Styela clava: one gene and its partner. The protein of the gene in region 1 purifies or fractionates together with the protein of each later gene. This does not show direct contact. Links are inferred from orthologs where the notes say so. Each region holds a gene or a part of one and is shown on either strand. Other genes may lie near its edges. The genes, in order: coatomer subunit beta'-like and coatomer subunit delta-like.

Region 1 (9,545 bases):
CCCAGAGCTTTATCATCATGTCATCTGCAAAAATACAATACTATAAAAAAATTCCTCAGATCTTATAAATTCTTGAGGATTACAGAACATTGTTGTTAATACACTTAATTAACTAGGTATTCATTTTTGACTTTAGCTTTAAAATAAAGATGTGTCAACTTAGTAGGCTATAGGCCTACATGCTAAATATCAAAAATTATATTAGTGAGTGGCATCCCACCTTAACTCGTATATACACTTATAACAAGAGTACTGACAAGAATGATATGGTATATTGTTTTTGAACTTTTCAAAATGATATACTTTATACCTGGGTTTCTCAAACTGGGCCATCGGCCCATCAAGAAGGCCACAGGCAAAGGCCTTAGCTATGTACCATTTGAGATCACCACATGAATTTAAAGCACATTGAGTTTAACTTTGCTTTATTCTTTGAATGTACTGCATCTTTTGCTTTTGTTTGTTGGCTTGTTTACTCTCTCAAATATGACAACAAAAATATCTGATGAAATGCGTTGAAAGGAAAACTTTTTCAAATTTTTATGGAAGAGCAAGAGGCCACAATTGTTTAGAGTTTTTGGAAGGGGCCCTGGGATCATGGAAGCTTGAGAAACACAGCTTATGCATTAGACATTCAAAAAGATATTCTCAAAAAGTTATGGTGCATCGTTTAATAAAAACATTATATGCTATCTAATGAGATGCCAAAACTTCATGCTTGTCTCGTGTAAAATTAAGACGCAAAATCCTTTAAATATAAATATTACATTACCACTGCTGGTTAATATATATGGTTGTGTTGGATGAACAGCAATTGATCTTATATAATCGGTATGAGCTTCAAATAAGTGAACTCTTTCCAATGTATTGTAGTTGAAAACTCGAACTTGCATATCATCCTGTAAAAAAGATCATTTCATTTACCATATGAGGCAAAATACTACATATCAATCCAGGGAATTAAAAAAAAATTGAATAAAATAGTAAAAAAAGCAACAATGCAGTAAAACATAATAAATTTTTGTTACCGATCCTGACACAACCCAATTTTTTCTTGGAACAAATCTTGCAGCTCTCACTGGTAATTCACAAATTTCAAATGATTTTACAAGTTGTTGAGATTCGATGTTCCAAATATGAACATTACCTGAAGATCATAAGGCAGTAAAATAAATTAAAAATGTTGATTCAATTGCACAATTAATTTTTTAGGAATGGAATAGCACAGTCTTAATTCTATTTATTCCTGTGCGAATAAAGCAATAAGATGACTTGATCATATGGGGTACCGATGGTCTCTCGTCAGATTACCAGTAAAAGTCATGCATGGGATGACTTGGCCAGTTATTTCTTTCCGATGCATGGACGCGATGGTGGAGGAAGCCTGGACCAACCAGCAGTTACATGAACCACCCTGCGGCGGAGTGAAGTCCAGCAAACCGCTTGCACATAATTATCCCTCACAGGATTCAAATCTGCAAACCCACGTAGGATAATAAGAGATGTTATGATTAGCGTAATCCTAACGCTTTACCAACCGCAACTAACAACCTCATCAATGGCCATTTTGATATTTGATGAATTCTTACACTTAAAAGTTGCATGGACACACCAACATAAATCGAAAAATATGTGATTTAAAAGTCTTAGGCTCTAATAATTTCTATAGAATACAACCTTAAATTTCTTTCATTTCACGTTTAGAAAAGCATGGAATTTCAAAATTTTATTCATGATGTCACTAACAAGATTATTTATCACACAATCCCTGGGTTACTCACCATTGTACAATGAAACAAGCATCCATGGTTCTGTAGGATGTAAATCAACACATTTGACACGATCAGATCGAGCACTCAACTTCCTCTTGATGTCAAGTCTCAGAGGCTATATATAAAGCATTTTATTGGTTGTAAATAATTGCTCTTGAGGGTATGGAACTGGATTCAACCTTTCATATTTTTTATTTTATTCTCTTCAAAGTTCAAACACTCAGACATTGTACAAAACTTCGATACATTTCAGACATTGTCTGAATGTTTATAGGATTGGATTTAGATATTTATCTAGGGGTAGAGGAAAGACGCTATGATAGCTTAACGTTAATCCTGTAATCATATGGCAGTACAGCACACTATACAAATCGGGTGACATTGTCCCGTTTCAGAGAAACCCATTTTACAGATGATCAGACACCCCTTCTTTGGGAGACGTCTGGACATTGTTGTCCCTCAATATCGGTAATAATGCAGTATAATGAAGTTGCGCAAAATACTACAAAAAAGCGCACTCTAGTAATGTCATCATTGAATTCCTTAGGAAAAAATAATCCGATTTACCGAAGGAAAAAAAAAAGTTTTTAGCAAAAAACGGCAATTTTGGTCATGTGACGGCCTCGATTAATTTAGATTTTTATTGAAACAAGCATGGCACGATATGAAGCATCTGATGTGGTCCCAGACGCCCCTCGTTTGTGAGACACATAGAGTGTTTGTTTTATTGAGCCAAATGGAGGGAAATTCTTGGAATTTGGATAGTGTGCTGTACTGTATGGCGAACCCTGGCCTCAAACCAGCAAATACTAAAATTATTACAGCATTTGCATTATTGGATACTTGACTTTGATAACATGAATATTGCTGCATTGTCTGATTGTGAAAATCTTGTCAAAACAAAACAGACAAAAACAGTCGGAAGACCTGTAAGTTTGGGGTCTCATGTAGTTTCGTACCTAATCCACTTTTAGTGGGCAGAGCATAACAATTTTTTGAAATATCAATCCTAACCCTCACCTGACTAACCCATCCAAAAATTACGTCACTACGACGTAACAGTGACGTAATAGAGCCCTTCAAACTATACGAACTGTTGTCCAAGACGCGCAGACGAGCATCCGAAATCGAATAACTATTTCTCTCGTTTTCTCGTCGCAATGATCCCAATATGAGAGAGATCGCTGACATTAGTCAGCTCTTTATCGTTGGCGCCGATGCCATTTTGGGCGATCGTATTTATATTTGACAAGCTCTATGACGTGATTGTGACGTAATTTTATAATTTTTGGATGGCATAGTCAGGTGAGGGTTAGGATTGATATGTCAAAAAATTATTGCGATACGCTCGCTAGAAGTATGTTAGAAGTATGACTAGAAGTACTAGGTACGAAACTACACGAGACCCTAAGTTTGACATACAGGTAAGACATAAGAAGACAAAATTTCAGTATTTAGACTACATATTTCCAGTATTTCAGTAACGTTATACAGTTCCGCAGTTATATATTATGAAACAAAAATACTTACCATGCTTTTGGTTTAATCTGATCAATCTTTGTAGTCGGAATAATTTCCTGGTTCAAGCTGGGCACTTTAATTGAAAAGATAAAGTAGGCAGGTATCCTCATTCAGATTGTTGTGATCAGTTCACGGTACACGACAATGCTGACGCGTAGCATTATTCTGCTGTCACCTTGCAGCGCTAAAGAGCAATTAGACAATCAGAGTAAAATTTTAACGTTTTATATGTAATTTAAGTATGGTTTTCAAGAAGAAAAAAATATATAATAATAAATACGAATAACCCGACACCAATTATATTATAACATTATCAGACTTAACCTTATTTCCACTTTTAAAATGTGGAAAAGGGGATATAATTTTCATATGTATCAGAGGGGACAGGAGTCGGTAACCGATGGAGCTGTGAACTCTGGAACGTTGAGGGGTACAGCAACATACCGAGGAAACTATGTATACCGTGTTTCTTCTGAAAAATAACACTAGGGCTTATTTTCGGAGAATGTCTTATACTTTCATTTATCAAAAACAAAATTACAAAGTAGGAAAATACGAGATTTTCAAATACTGTACACAAAATATGAAAACCGATATCCATTTACCTATAAATACCACGTTTTTATTCGAAATAACTGCAAAACATAGACTGTCAATCATTTAAATCGTGAAAAGTTTTTTGCCACCGTCTAGGTATAACAAAAAAAATTTCGTTATTGACTAGGTCTTATTTTAAGGGGAGGACTTAAGTTAAAATAATTTTCAAAATTCAGGCTAGGTCTTATTTTCGGGGAAACACCGTAGGTCCAATAACATTTTAAATATTATATTTTTATTTATAATGATTCAAAGCGACATTTTTCTGTTATCATATGCTTCATATGAATTACAGGGCATTGAAGTGACAACACGTACCGTAACCATTGAGCAAATTCAAAATTTTCGATTGAAGCCAAAAGACTTGCGAGAGTATACGCGTACAAAGTTGGTTATTACTACCAGATTACAATATATTTTCAACTCCGGAAACAGGCGCTATTATACCAATATAGTCAAATAAAAACTGAATGACGGGTTTTAGGGGTAGCCTACAAAGTATATATTGGCTTGTTGTTGGTTTGGTGTGTTGGTGATGAACGACAGTTCGGGGTTATTTAATTCAATTACGTCCAGTACAAAAAGTTATGGCGGTTTATAATTTTAAGAAAGTCTAAATTAACTAGTTTTACTCCGATTAATATTATTAATTTGAAAAAAAAAAGAGTAAAATTTCGCCAAAATAACAATGTTATCCATACAGGGTTGGCTACATTATTCAAACCCTATTCTTCCACTGTCCATACCTCGCCGATGTTTAGTTACGGCCTTGAATTTATGATGGTATTCTGACAATTGTGGAATCATTTTACCAAATGGCGCGTGCAAACTTGGTCTCATCTTCAAAATCATCATTTTGTTCGAAAGCAAGCTGCCGAGTGTACTAGTGTACCCGTTTGTCAGGGTCGTTTCCAAGAACTATATTACATCACATTCGACGATAAAATGACACTGAATTATCTGATTTGGACTCAAATTTGGTAATTAAAACTAAAAATAATATAATGCGTCTGCCTAAATTTCAATTGGTGCTTTATAGATCTGGACATTTTCGAATGCCGGATAAATTCAGAATCCAATTGATATTGTTTTCGAATTGAATCTCGAATATTTGAAAAATATTCAAACTAATACAATGATATCTGAATTTTCTTGTAATGGGGGCCTTCCAGAACCATAAATGACCGGTACTGAAAACAAGAATCCAACATGTGATGAAACACATGTTTCATCACAAACTCACTAGGTTGAAGAGAGTGTCATGTCACAATTTAATTAAATCGTCGGGTGTGGTCGCGTTCTTGTGTAGCAGAAGGAATAATGGACCAGCACTGAAGGAATACCAACAAGGAGCTTACAGACGATGTAAAGATGAGAAGGATACTAGGACAACATAACAGAATCGAAAGATAATAAATCAGGAATATGAAGATGAGTATGGGGTTGAAATTCAACTGTCAGCAGATACTGCAAACGCTATTACCGGTACTAAATATTCTACTTTAATTATAAATGAAAATTCAAATAATCTCTTTGGTATTAGCTATATATGCATACACAGTTTGTAATGTAACATATGATATGGCCATGTCAATTCGCAATGCTTTTAAACATTCATTTAATGGCTTATTTTTGTTTTGTTCTGTGTGCATACCGTTTTAACGATATTAGCCTAACTAATTACAGACCTGTGCACGCCTGATTAGTGTTTTTTTCTGATAATTGTTTTTATGAGTGTACGTGCACAGAATTTACCAGCATAGTTTTGATTTTAGTTTGTAAGTATCTTGAACCACTTTTCACCAATGCCCAATTAGTGTAACTTTTCATGGCTTTTGGCTATTCTCGTCACCTCATCCACACGTTATCTTAGTATCGAATTGAATTTTGAATGTACGACAGTCCGAAAGTTCAATTTTTTTGTGTTTTTTTTCTGACCCAAGCCTCGTTCAACAAGGTTATTTTTGTGCCTGTGCTGGTGAGCTGGCACATGCGGTTTTTAGCACGATACGTTATTGTTACGAAAATAAACGGGGAATTTCATGCTCTTGATATTTGGCTGAGGAGCGGACGTTTTGAGTGCTCGGCGTAAACTGAATTTTTTTTTCTGTTGCTTAAATTATTCAATCCATGACAACTACGAAATTCTGAAATGTCCTTATATATTAATTTAATTGTGTCCAACGTAACTAGCGGTTGCGACTTCTTACGTCAAAATAAAAACATTATTTCTCTAAAATACCACGGCGATCTGTGGACATAAAAATATGAGATAAGTTGCCTGATGTATTCAACTTTGATATATACATATTTTTGCAATCTTGCGAACTCGTTAAAGCCGATAGAAAAATCTTAATATCTGTTACAAAATCCGTATAGTACAATTTTACTTCATACAATGAAAATACATATAAAGTAGGTTATATCAGTAAATCAAAAATACATATTCACCCGCCTTCACCGCATCGAAATCCACGCCAAACAGTCGCCGCGGTAACACCACTTGTTAAAAGAGCCGACTTTTTTAACGAAAAAGGAATTTTCTGTTGTGCAAAGTAATCAATCCATGACCGGTACGGGCATATTTAAAATGTCTTGCTTTGTTAATTTGATTGTCATCAATTTAAACTGTGGTTGCGTCGATAAAACAAGAGCCACTCTAAAACACCACGGCATTCCGCGGACATAAAAATGTGTGGTAAACTGCCCGATTATATATTGTTTCGATCCGTATTTTTGCTTTTTTGCAAATTCCACAAATTTGAGATGTACTTGTAACACTGACTCCTTTCAATCGCAATGCTGCCACTCCGATTATTTTTAAGGATAAAACGTTCCGAAAGATTTGTAATTCTGCTTTAAAATCTCAGAGATAAATTTTATTTTAGTAAAATAAATTTTGTTCGAATGTACTTTATAGATTAATTATCTTATACATCATCACAAACCGGGAAAAGTCGCGTTCTCAACTTTGTTTAAAGTTAACACGAACATTTTCGACGGCAATTTTAGTGTAAAAGTAATGGATAACAAGGTAAATCCCGCTCACAATTCACCGTGTTTCGATTTTAGTGACGATAAGTTCTAAACGCGGAGCGAACATAATGTGTGCCATAGGAAGACGAAATTTTGCGATTTTCAATGCCTAGAAAAGCGTTTTTAGACTGTCGCGGGCCTCAACAACACTTGTTTACGGTTTTATTTTCAGTATTTTATATTGCCGATTTTCAGTCAAACAATTTAGGTCGTGGATTTATTCATTAATTTGTCTTTAGAATCTCGCCGCCGATGAACGTATAATAAGTCTCACCGGATGCACCATTCTGTCAATTCCGTGCGAGTAACAAAATAAAATAATTGTCATCGTTATCGTGGTACAAATTTGAGGAAAATTTGTGATTTAGAGACAATAAACGTCAACGTAAAGGCGTTTACGGCCTAAATAACACGTCACAACGATGAAAACATTCGGCAATTTTAAGCAAAAGGCAATCGTACGCGTTATCGGCGACTTTTTCAATTTTCAAAACAAAAAATTCAACAGCGTTGTGACAAAAGCGCTTCTTATTTCCTATTGTTCTCTACCACTGAAAAATCAGCTTTTACATCGGGCGGGTATTCAAGCACCGGCCCTTATTTATTTTTATGTTCTGATCACACAGGCGGCTATTCAAACGGGCTCTTATCAAGATCGGGCGGTAAAACGAGCATTTACGGTACCTCCTAACTCCATTTTATTAATAAATTCCCATTTATTGCTCAATATTGTGAACAGACCGATTGCGTGTGTTATTTAATATCCATCTTTTATCACATATCTTAATTTAGTTTTTACATAACACCGATTCTATCAACAAACAAGCAATATGAAATATTGACCGCAGAAAAAAAAGGAAAAATGCTAGAGATAGATGACGGGGCACATATTGCCTCAAGCGTGAAGCGTGTACGCGTTTTAAAAAATCAGCTGATCTGCCAAGGCCGCCACGAGCAGGATTGTTTCTCGAGTTTTGCATAGATCGGTAGATTGTTGGGACTTTCAGTCTGCTGTGCTGTAGTTCGTGTGATAGGCCTAGTTCTGTAGTGTTCTGTAGTTAGCAGCGTTTGTCTTGCTAATCGGTGAGTTCATTATAGTGAATTGTGTTTAATTCTGTTAATATAGCAGCACCGCATACCGCAGTACTGGCATATATTCTGTTAAATAGCAGCACGCATACTGATTGATCTGTAAGTTACATTCAGATATTTCATGCATTCAGACATTAGGTACGTACCTACACCATAATTCTCTATTTCTGTATTTTCGCAGTTCAAATGGAAGGGAAAAAGGATGGAACGAATGCTGTTCTCAAAGTGATATTTATCTCTCTTCTCATTGACTTGTTTGGATTTACAGTCATTTTACCACTGTTTCCTTCGCTTATGGAATTTTACAAAAGCAATGATAAGGTGGGCTCGCTTACCTTAGAATACATGGAATATAGGAATAGTCTCCCGAGCTAACTCTGTGTAGTTGTTACTGTCTCGGAATGAAATATTTCATTTTTATACCACATATTTATTCCTTTTTTCTGTCTCTTGCTCCAAACGAGGCTTTGCACAAACAGCCACTGCTAGATAAGGAACTACTGCAGTGTTCTGGGATTTTGATACCTGTTACAAATTCATTTGGGAATACATGCGCAAGTAGCCTAGAGAAATATCTGCTGTAATTAAGAGCACATGAGATATGGTATCAATGAGGAATTCATCACCAGTGACTTTCTTCCAGACAACATTTTAGCTTTATATTCTCATCTCAGTAACTTCTTGTGCTCTTCACTCAACCTACAATTTATAAAAAATTGTCGCCCCATGGCCCAGCGGTTTGACCACTCCTAACTATGTTGGCATTATAGGTCGAGATTATCGGTTCAATAGCGATTCTCACCGCCCACTTTATGTATTAAAGAGCTACTTAGCCTTTTTCAAAGTGGAGGCGTGATAATCATCTTTTAATACAATTACATAAAAAATTCTCAAGTAGTTTGGGGGAATTGCAAGTGCATATTTGAGGTTGATTAAATACGCCTGCGTCTATTTGAAATACAACTTACTGTGTATAAATCAGAGATTCGAGTATTTAAACATTCAAAATTTATATCACAGGGAAATTTGTATTCTTCTATGGAAAGCATGGTGACTTCGTTCAGAAAGTTAATCGGAATTCCAGAAACTGAGGATGTTAATTCTGTTTTATTTGGAGGCAAGTTTCAAGCAATTGTATTATACTCCTCAAGATCAGATACTTATTTTTTGATTATCTTGCTAACTCCCTAACTCCCTAAAATGTTATGCCAAATGTTTTCTTATCACACCCTATAATTGCTTTTGAAACTAAGACTACTATAATAAACAAGCATGACCACATACAGCTATATTGGAAATGATATCCAATGTCTTTTGAAATTGATAATTCTCTGAATTCTGATAAACATATTTGGTGTTGGCCATAAGATGAGATCTCATATGTGGCAAAGCATCTTAAAATTATTATAGCCTAAATGAAATGTGATCATAATCACAAGACTACTCTTTTGAATAAAAGAAGAAATTTATAATAATTCCATTACTTAACTTATATATTTTCTTAATTTAGGTATGATTGGATCTTTG
Region 2 (9,213 bases), on another chromosome or scaffold:
CCAATTTTGGAGAGAAGGTTTTTGTTTCTAACGCATGCATGTGCAGAAGACAATGCGTTACAGTTATGTGTGGTGCATCGGCTTTCACTAGCGCACCAAAACCATATTTTCGCCCTAACATGGCTGGGGCTCCGTCCGAACAAATTGCACAAACCATATCCCACGAAAGATCGTTGTTTATGAAGAAATGATCCACAAGTTTCTTAACGTCAATAGCCTTAGCTGACAAAATAAAAAATCTTCCTTTATCACGTCTTCTTTCACATAGCGCAAGAATACAGCAAGCTGGCTTAGACTGGCAACGTCGGTGGTCTCGTCAAGTCGGAGACTAAATTTTGCCGGGCTCGAAATCAAGTCTGAAATTATTTGAGCCAAAATGTCATCGCTCATCTTATCAATTCTTTTGCTGATGGTGTCATTCGAAAGAGGAATTTGAGATAATTTATTTTCAGCTGCTTTTCCAAGCATGATATTCGCCATCTTCAACGCAGCTGGTTTTACGAGTTTTTCCCCAATGGTGTTTGGTTTGCCTTGTTTGGCAATCAGGTATGCAACTTCGTACGATGCTGTGAGGATCGGTTTGTCGATGGGAACAAAGCCGAAAACAGGCAGAGTAGCCTTTTCATCATATCTGGCTCTTTTCATTTTAAATTCAGCGAGCGTTGTGTTCTTGTATTTTCCATCGCCATGCATCTTCAGAAAGTGATCCTTTAGTTTTGCCGGTGCTAAGCTAGAATTACCCTATAACCCTACAAAATAATGTTTTCAAATAAAACAATGCTGATCATTGTTGTAGTAGACTCACTTAATATGCAGACTCATTAAAAACCTAATAAGGCTTTAATCAAGTAATACTTCACAACTAACTCTGAACAAAAGAAAACTACGCTTACACAACGAAATTACTTACAAAGACAAAACAGACACTTTTTTAAAAACAGCGCCGATTGCACAATCAGATAACGTTTGGCCGGGGATTCTATAACAAAGGTGTTTCCTCTCCGCTGAACCCCTGATACTGACTCATCGAACCCCTGGGGTTCGATTGAACCCAGTTTAAGAACCACTGCCTTATATCAAACTGAAATAGATAGCCATCGTAATATTTCAGTAGACGCTGGTATCTCAAAATTACTATTAACCAGAACATAAAATTTAAATTTAAAAAACGAATGTGGTGGAAACTTGACTTACCATTCGCCAAGACCAACATTCACAAAAAATAAATGATTTTTGTTCAAGTCAGCTTATCTTACCTTACGAACTGCCCTGAACACTTTCTCTTCATGAGAATCCATCTCAGTAAATGTTCGAATCTGTGCAAGATTGACACTTTCACGATATCCTAGAGCTACAACTTCATCAAATGCAAAGATCAATTCAAAAGCATGTTCTTGAACATCATTTTCATCCAGGATTCGACAATACTCTGGAATCTTGAATAACAATTATTAATTATGATTCAATTTATAATAATCCAATTAAGACAAGGAAAAAGGGTGTGAAAACAAAGCATAAAATCTTTAGAAAACATGATTTCAGCATGATGTTGAGTAAAGTATGATCACAACTAACGATCACAGACTCTAATAAACAAATAAATTTGGGGCTTGATTTCAATTCATTTTCTCTATAATTTTCAAATTGAATTTCAAGGATACAAGTAAAATTGAAATTAACGAAAACATGAAAGGTATTTTGTACATATAATCTAAATAGAATAGATTTAAAAAAATTTGTCATTATGTGTTGGTGTTAGAAATGAGCTTGCAGAAGTTCTATCCTTTCCGATATTAGAATCTACCTCAAACTTTACATACCAATCTTGAGAACAATCTTAGTGTTTCCAGATCTTCTAAAATATTACTATTCTTTGTAGTGATCAGCAACATATACATTTTCTCCAGAGGTTGATAGACATATCTCACTGATTCTGTTTCGACAAATGTGTGTTGTTTGCCTGAAGAAATTGATAAATTGATAAATTTCTATCCTCGAAAGTAGATAAAAGTAAGATTTTCATATTATATCCTGGGAGGAGAAAAGTCGACGAGACAATGCAATCATATGGCAAACCTTCGCCTCTCGTCCAGTGCCAGTTGGGAACAGCTAGCCAGTTATTAGAAGCCATAATGAACTAGTAATTGAATAAACAAGGAATCGGTCGGAGACCAAAGACTTATACTCTATAGTGACACCGCGTGTCCCATCACTAATTAATTAATAACTCGCTAATTATATGACATAAATCATCCAAAATCAATAGGCTTTTGACCCAAGATATGATGAATGCACATGCATGTTTACATTGTTACATGACAGAATATTATCATGATTTTTTTGGTTGTTGAAAATGCTTTATTGAATCATAGAACTAGACACTGTGATAAGGCATCAATAAAATAGGTAAATACTGAAGTTCTACCTGTATTCATTAATTTAGGAAATGCCGCAAGAAGACCTTCAATTCTTGATCGAGTCATTTCTACAAATTGCCGAGATATGATGGCTCGACCATTTTTGGTCATTACCGCCGCTGCCAACAGCACCTAAAAAATTGAAATAATTCAATCCATGACTCAACGTTATAGTCAGATAGTAAACTTTGTACATTCAGTAGGGCCTAGTTCTCCGATTCAAAGATGTTCCAACGTAATTGGTTCATTTAAATAAATACTCTGTCTCTGAAATGAGGAGCATCTATATATAGTTTAGTTCGGTCAGTTAGTGGAAAAAAAGTGAAAACACATAATTTTTATGGCAGTATGACCTTAGGCCTACGTTGAATATAGGATAGGATTTACATATTTATCCCGGGGGAGAGGAAAACCGATAAGACGACTTAATCATATGGCCAACCACGGCCTCTCGGGGTCTGGTATAGTTTAGTACCACATGCACTTCTAGATGGCCTGGCTCGACAATTTTTGCATACGTTAATCCTAACCCCCACCTGACTACGTCACCAAAAAATTACGTCATTTGGACGTCACAGTGGCGTAATGAGACCCACCAAAGTATGGAGATGGTCGTCCAAAACACTCGGACGATCACCCGAAATCGGGCAAGCTAGTTCTCTCGTTTTTGCCTCACAACGATCACCATAAGAGAGAGATCGTCGGCGTTAGCGAGTTCATTATCGGCGGCGCAGATGCCATTTCGGGCGATTGTAATTATACTTTGGCAAGCCATATCACGTGATGGTGACATCCTAGTGACGTAATTTTTGGATGGCATAGTCAGGTGGGGGTTAGGAATACCATATGCAAAATTCGTTATGCTACGCCCACTGGAAGTACCTGTGGTACTAAACTATACTAGACCCGCCTCTCGTTCGGTTACCAGGTCGGGTATGGGATTAGTTAACCAGGTATTTGTTTTCGGAAGAATGGAGTTGATATATAGAAATAAGATTTTATATTAATTTGAAGGACTGAATGAGATAATAGCCATGGAGTTAAGTCTTAACACTGTTTTGAAAAAAAAATATAAGCAATCCATCTCAACACAGTAACAGCAACTAATTAACAATTGAACATTGCCAGATTGCGTTAGCCTATATCTGTAACGTTATATGGAGTCAGGTTAAGTTAGATCGGACCATAATTTGAATCCAAAACTGGTGGTCATATCATAGATTCATATTCCATAATAATCACTTACCATATTGTAATTTATAGATTTCCAAACCTCAGAAATGTGAAACAAAAACGACACCGATAGCCAGTATGCCAATGCAGAAACCTTGTTCAACAGGCAGCCACGTCAGTGCTAGGCATAAGTACGAAAACGGCTGAATGGAGACTACTGCGATGTTCGATAAATTCGATTTATCATCCCCGCGAGATGTCGCGCTAGAGTAATAAAAATTCTTATTACCCATTTACTTCAGTCTTCACTCCGCGAGTTCGTTGAGATGAATACGATGCAGTATAATATAGCCTACGGTAAATATAAGTATATTTTGAGTACCGGAATTTCGGCAAATAGTACCGGTATGCATCGTATTGTCGTATTTTTTATATTTATTCAAGTGTGATCTTGTTTTCCCAATTTTTTTTTATGTATGTATGTTTATTCGTCTCGTAATAGTGATAAATAAATGAACAATTATTCATGGCCCCTTTGTGCATATTTTAAATAGGTAGATATGCTTTTCTGTAGTGAATGAACTGGGTAATTCTGAAGATAAAACCTAAATAAATTTCATTATGCACTTCAGTGTTCTTAATTCATTTTAATAATTGGATGTGAGAGAATTTCATGTTGTGAATTTTTATATTATATGTCGGGACGGCGGAAAAACAGGCTAAAACCGGGACTGTCCTGGCTAAACCGTGACGTATGGTAAGCCTATGTATGACCATAGTTGTGATTCGAACCTTCCGTCACCACTGTGGAGCTAGCAGCAATTTCAACCAGAATATTTTTACACATTGAATATAATTTCCAAGCGCATATATGATTCACTTATAGCTATATATAAAAATTGAAAAGGCTGATTAAAATATAATTTTACCACGGAATCAGATGAAAAATCTTTAAACTAAATAAATACAATAAATTGGACGAGAAAATATTGTTTAAAAAAAGATTAAGTAAGCGAAAAATGAATCTAAGGTAGCCAGGTTCCTAATTTTTTGCGAAAGCGTTTATTAGATTACAATTCAGTCTTTCTTCGTTGTCAAATATAGCTACCGTAAGTAGCATGCTTCTAGTGGGCGTAGTTTTACAGTTTTTGCATTTGTCAATCCTAACCAACACTTCGCTGCGTCATTCGAAAATTACGTCAAAGTGACATAACAAGGCCCTTCAAACTGTACAAACTGTCATTCAAGCACACAGACAGTCACCTAAAATCTAGCAAGCTATTTCTCTTGTTTTTGCGTTGCAACGATCCCGATATGACTGGCGGCGGCGCAGATGCCATTGTGGGTGATCCCCCTATACTCTGACAAGCTCTATTAAGGAAGTGATTGTGATGTCGTAGTGACATAATTTCTGGATGCCATAGTCAGATGGGGATTAGGATTGACATATGCGAAAATCGTTATGCTACGCCCACTAGAAGTACTTGAAGTACGAAACTACACAAGACCCCAGTAATAGTACATTTTGTAAACATTCACTGGTCCCATTGTTTCCAGAATCTGAGAATATTGATCTTTTTTTTCTACTTTCTTCTTAGTTAAGTGGCGAAAATGCTGCAGAGCAAACCATTCAAAAGTCGTTGTGCCTATAGGCCTACTCATTAAAATACATTTTTTTTAACAGAAGAATTAGTACTATATTTCAGATTTATTTAATATACAGATATATAAGGAAGTTGGATATGAATTTTGAATTCAGTTTACCCCAGACACTTCTTGAATATTTTGAGTCGGAGGGATACGATGCATATAACAGTGTACGAGTTTTAACTGATGAAGAAAGTTTAAAAGATCCAGAAAATGATCCTTTCAAGTCAAAATACAAAGCAAGAGAAAAGCTGCAAGAAATATTGAATAGAATACATAAAGAACGAGAAGAAAATGAATCTGACCCATCCATGAAAATTTTAGAAGCTGCGATACAATATCAGCTAGGATTTAATTACACTCACACTGAGGAAAGACCTGCTGGAGAAGAATGTCTTGATAAGTGTATTGCTCTTCTGAAAGACGATGAACTTTTAATGAGACCAGAGGCTGTTAGCATTGCCATGATTGCATATTCTGAACTTGGAATAGTATGGGCTAGCCGTTATCAAGGCCGAGACGAGGCAATGTTCAACCTTAAAAAAGTTGAAAGTCTTTATAATAAATATAAGCATGAAGTGGGTCTTTCTCCTTTCGCTATTGATGAAAGTTTGCGTCCAAAGGAAGAGAAATTCACTGACATGCAACGTGATGCAAAATTTGAAAAGATTTTCACTCATACATTGTTTTACTTGGCACAGATGTACAAACAAAGTGATGAAAATGATCTATCTGCTGCATATTGTCAAAGAACTTTACGACGTCAACTGGAATCAAAAGAGTATGATCCAAAAGAATGGGCTGTGAATTCTGCTGGCCTATCACAATATTACATTTGTCAAAATATGTATCGTGAAGCAAAACATTGTTTGGCTTGTGCCAATGTCATTATGGAAGAAGCAAAACCTCAGGAAGGTCTACCTGAGCCGAAACCTGATGATGATAATGAGACGATCATGCTGAGAAATGAAATACCACAGAAGAAAGCAGATATCGCTCGTTGTTGGGTGAAGTACTTTCTCGCTCTTCTGGATTACTCAAAGGAACTCTTATATAATGATGTGTGTGAACTTGATGTTAATAGACAAGCAGAAGCTATACTACGACTACAATTAAATGAGGAAAATGACAATGATGTACCCAAAGATCATGACAGAATGCCTCTTGAAGTTGATTCTGTAGAAGAGAATGCGAGACATTTACCAGTCACCACTTTTGAAGAAAGTCGACAAGTGTTCCTAATAGCGAAAAAATATGTTGATTCTGCTCTTGAATTCTTTGTTATGGATGGTTTTGTCACAGATAATATTGAGCTGACGCAAGACATGAGTGCTCTGTATAAACACTTGATTTTCTTTGAGACAGAGAAAGAGAGAAAATGCAAGATGCATAAAAGACGGATAGACCTTCTTACTCAAGTTTTGAATGAGATAAATCCTCAATTTTTTCTTTTAATATGCAGACAACTTCAGTTTGAAATTGGGGAAATATATGGTGCGATGTTAGATTTAAAAATTGCAATTGCTAATGAGTCGACTCAGACTCCAACACACCACGCTATCAAGAAGATAAACCTATTGTGTAGGTCCAGTATATTATATTTCACTAAATTTCTTGACACACTACGAAATACTAAAAAAGTATTTCCTTTTCCATTTGATGAAGATGTTGAACATCCTGCGATTATTGCACATTTTCACGTCGCTAGACTGTATTCAAAAATAATTGCTCCTGTAAGATCTGAAAAATTAAATTTCTTGAAAAAGTCCTTGGAATATTATTCATGGATAGTTGACTATGTTGATCGTAAACCGGAATGTGAGGTAACAGTACAAAAGGAAGTCGAAATTTGCAGGGAAATGAAAGTCCTTCTCCCAAAGGCAATGGAACGATATATGGAATGAAAGATAATGGAACATTTTGTGAATAATGTTTTTGTGTGTTGTCGTTAAAACTTTCAGAGATCGTGGTTAAGAATTTCACACTGTAATTTTGTAACAATATTAAAAGGCTATGTTTTCCTTTCCCACAACCTTATTATTAAACTATTAGACCATTTTACCATTAGCCTTTGTCACAGCTGTGTAATTAGACTTTTTTGACCGCTTGTACCCAAGACTTCTTACATATATATTTGAGTTTTGAATCGTTGCACCACTTCATGTGAAAGTTAATCAGTATATTTTAAAACATTTGAAATGTTCTGGGTGTTTTTTCTTGATCATGGTCTATTTTCATAGCATAATTATGTTTTGCTTTTGTCGGTATTCTGCAACTCAATAATCTAGTACAGTTTTCCGCTCAGCTCAGAATAAGCACAGTGGTACATCATTTGCATGGCAAATTGTGTTTTATTATATCCTTCTTTCGTATTTTTTGTGTATTTTTTTATTTCATGAAGGTTCGAAATAGACACAATTTAAAACATTAGATTTACTGTAACCCTGTCACTTACCAAATGTAGTTCATTAATCAATGGTATGCACTTGAATTTGCACCGGGTATATATAATCGTCCTCTTAAAAATCTCTCAACTGTTCACTTGTAAGTAACATCACTGTGTTTTATATACCTAACTGGTTTTAATATTTCACGTATATTATATATTTGTAATTGTCCTATCATATAAACATTGAAATACAAGTTGGAACAGAGTGGCTATTTGTTAGCAGTATTGTGCAATCATGTTTAAGTGGATTAATCATGTTTTCGTAGCTGTCAGTTTGCCTCTCCGTAAAGTTGTAAACCAACTAAGCAGCTCGTCTTTGCTCTGTTTGCCTGTGAGGAAATCTATGATTTGATAATCAGTTTATATATAGGGTACTGATTTTGTGTCAATAATAATTTTCTGCCAAGCAAAAAGAAAATTCACTTCAGTACGATCTTGAGCGTTAAATTATGATCTACCGAATATACGATTAACAATATCTTCAAACCACAAAGTCAGCGTTTTTTGAGCAGCGATTTAAAACAGTGCCGTGAAGCAGAATTTCTTGCAGATTTAGTGCAAATAATCCGATTGCTGGTTCAGGCTGTGGTCGTTTCACGTTATTTCATATGAGACTCGAGGTGTAATGGAAAAATTTGCCGCACGGTTGCCTTCGATAGACGCACTTTGCACAATGAATACCGGGTGTAGCTGCTCGATAACCATTTTTGGTTCCCCTACCCGAGTAAAACTGTGTACTATTTTCTTGTAATTTGTGCCTCTGATATTTATTTATTTTTTACTGGTTGAAAAAAAATAAACTTGATTGATTGATTGTAATTCAGGGACAACAGACTAAGGTTATATTCGGCATAACTAATATATAAACCGCAGCACGACTTCAGACGTGATTTTAGACACTCGGCTTCTGACCAGTTTAAATATGTGGGCGTTTTTATGCGTTTACTTTCGTCCAATAAAAAAGCAGGAAAAAGAACGCCTTCGGCATTTTATTTCCATAAACTTTGCAGATCTGTAACAAACTTCATTTTGGCATTGGAGATAACGTTCACAATCACCTACTTTCGTGCACGCTCAATTAAATAAACTAAAGATCTAATCCGCCATGCAAGTCTAAAATGTCCTACTTATAATACGGTCAATAGAATAAATGTTTATACAAACTTCGTCAAAGGAAATTAGAACATTGGCGTTTTTCTTGAATACCGGTATCGCTAGGAATATTAAATTTAGTAGCAGAAGAGATAAACAGCTTGCGCGCGGAGTTTTGCACCCAGGTCCTATTTTTCCAAATCACTATCACCAATGAGAATATTCTCATTACTATCACCGATTGATTTTTCAATAGAAAAATAAACTTAGTTGCCTTGATTGAGTTGCCAGTGTAGTAGTCAATTGTTATCAGTGAGAAAAGCGTAGAAAGGTGAGACAATAACTATTCCGACATGATTTTCGCCACCTACGTCAAGCCGTAGATTGCGCAATGATTTGTTTACAGTTACATTAATACATTTCCAGCCGTATTCG

What was found.
Region 2: the proteins of coatomer subunit beta'-like (region 1) and coatomer subunit delta-like fractionate together in Homo sapiens (co-fractionation; 5 studies listed by BioGRID and IntAct, with this or other methods). This does not show direct contact. The link is inferred for Styela clava from reciprocal best matches to the Homo sapiens genes COPB2 and ARCN1.

What each region holds. Positions count from the first base shown.
Region 1 is NC_135256.1:19,758,492-19,768,036, forward strand, and holds the start of coatomer subunit beta'-like, read right to left. Parts: upstream 3,463-9,545; 5' UTR 3,306-3,462; coding exon 3,303-3,305; intron 1,888-3,302; coding exon 1,782-1,887; intron 1,148-1,781; coding exon 1,029-1,147; intron 900-1,028; coding exon 773-899; intron 25-772; coding exon 1-24. Other genes in the region: major facilitator superfamily domain-containing protein 10-like, read left to right, coding at 8,205-8,339, 9,039-9,135, 9,529-9,545. UniProt on the Homo sapiens protein: The coatomer is a cytosolic protein complex that binds to dilysine motifs and reversibly associates with Golgi non-clathrin-coated vesicles, which further mediate biosynthetic protein transport from the ER, via the Golgi up to the trans Golgi network.
Region 2 is NC_135253.1:7,645,514-7,654,726, reverse strand, and holds the start of coatomer subunit delta-like, read right to left. Parts: upstream 3,811-9,213; 5' UTR 3,667-3,810; coding exon 3,664-3,666; intron 2,550-3,663; coding exon 2,426-2,549; intron 1,961-2,425; coding exon 1,821-1,960; intron 1,437-1,820; coding exon 1,257-1,436; intron 1-1,256. Other genes in the region: KIF-binding protein-like, read left to right, coding at 5,333-7,141. UniProt on the Homo sapiens protein: Component of the coatomer, a cytosolic protein complex that binds to dilysine motifs and reversibly associates with Golgi non-clathrin-coated vesicles, which further mediate biosynthetic protein transport from the ER, via the Golgi up to the trans Golgi network.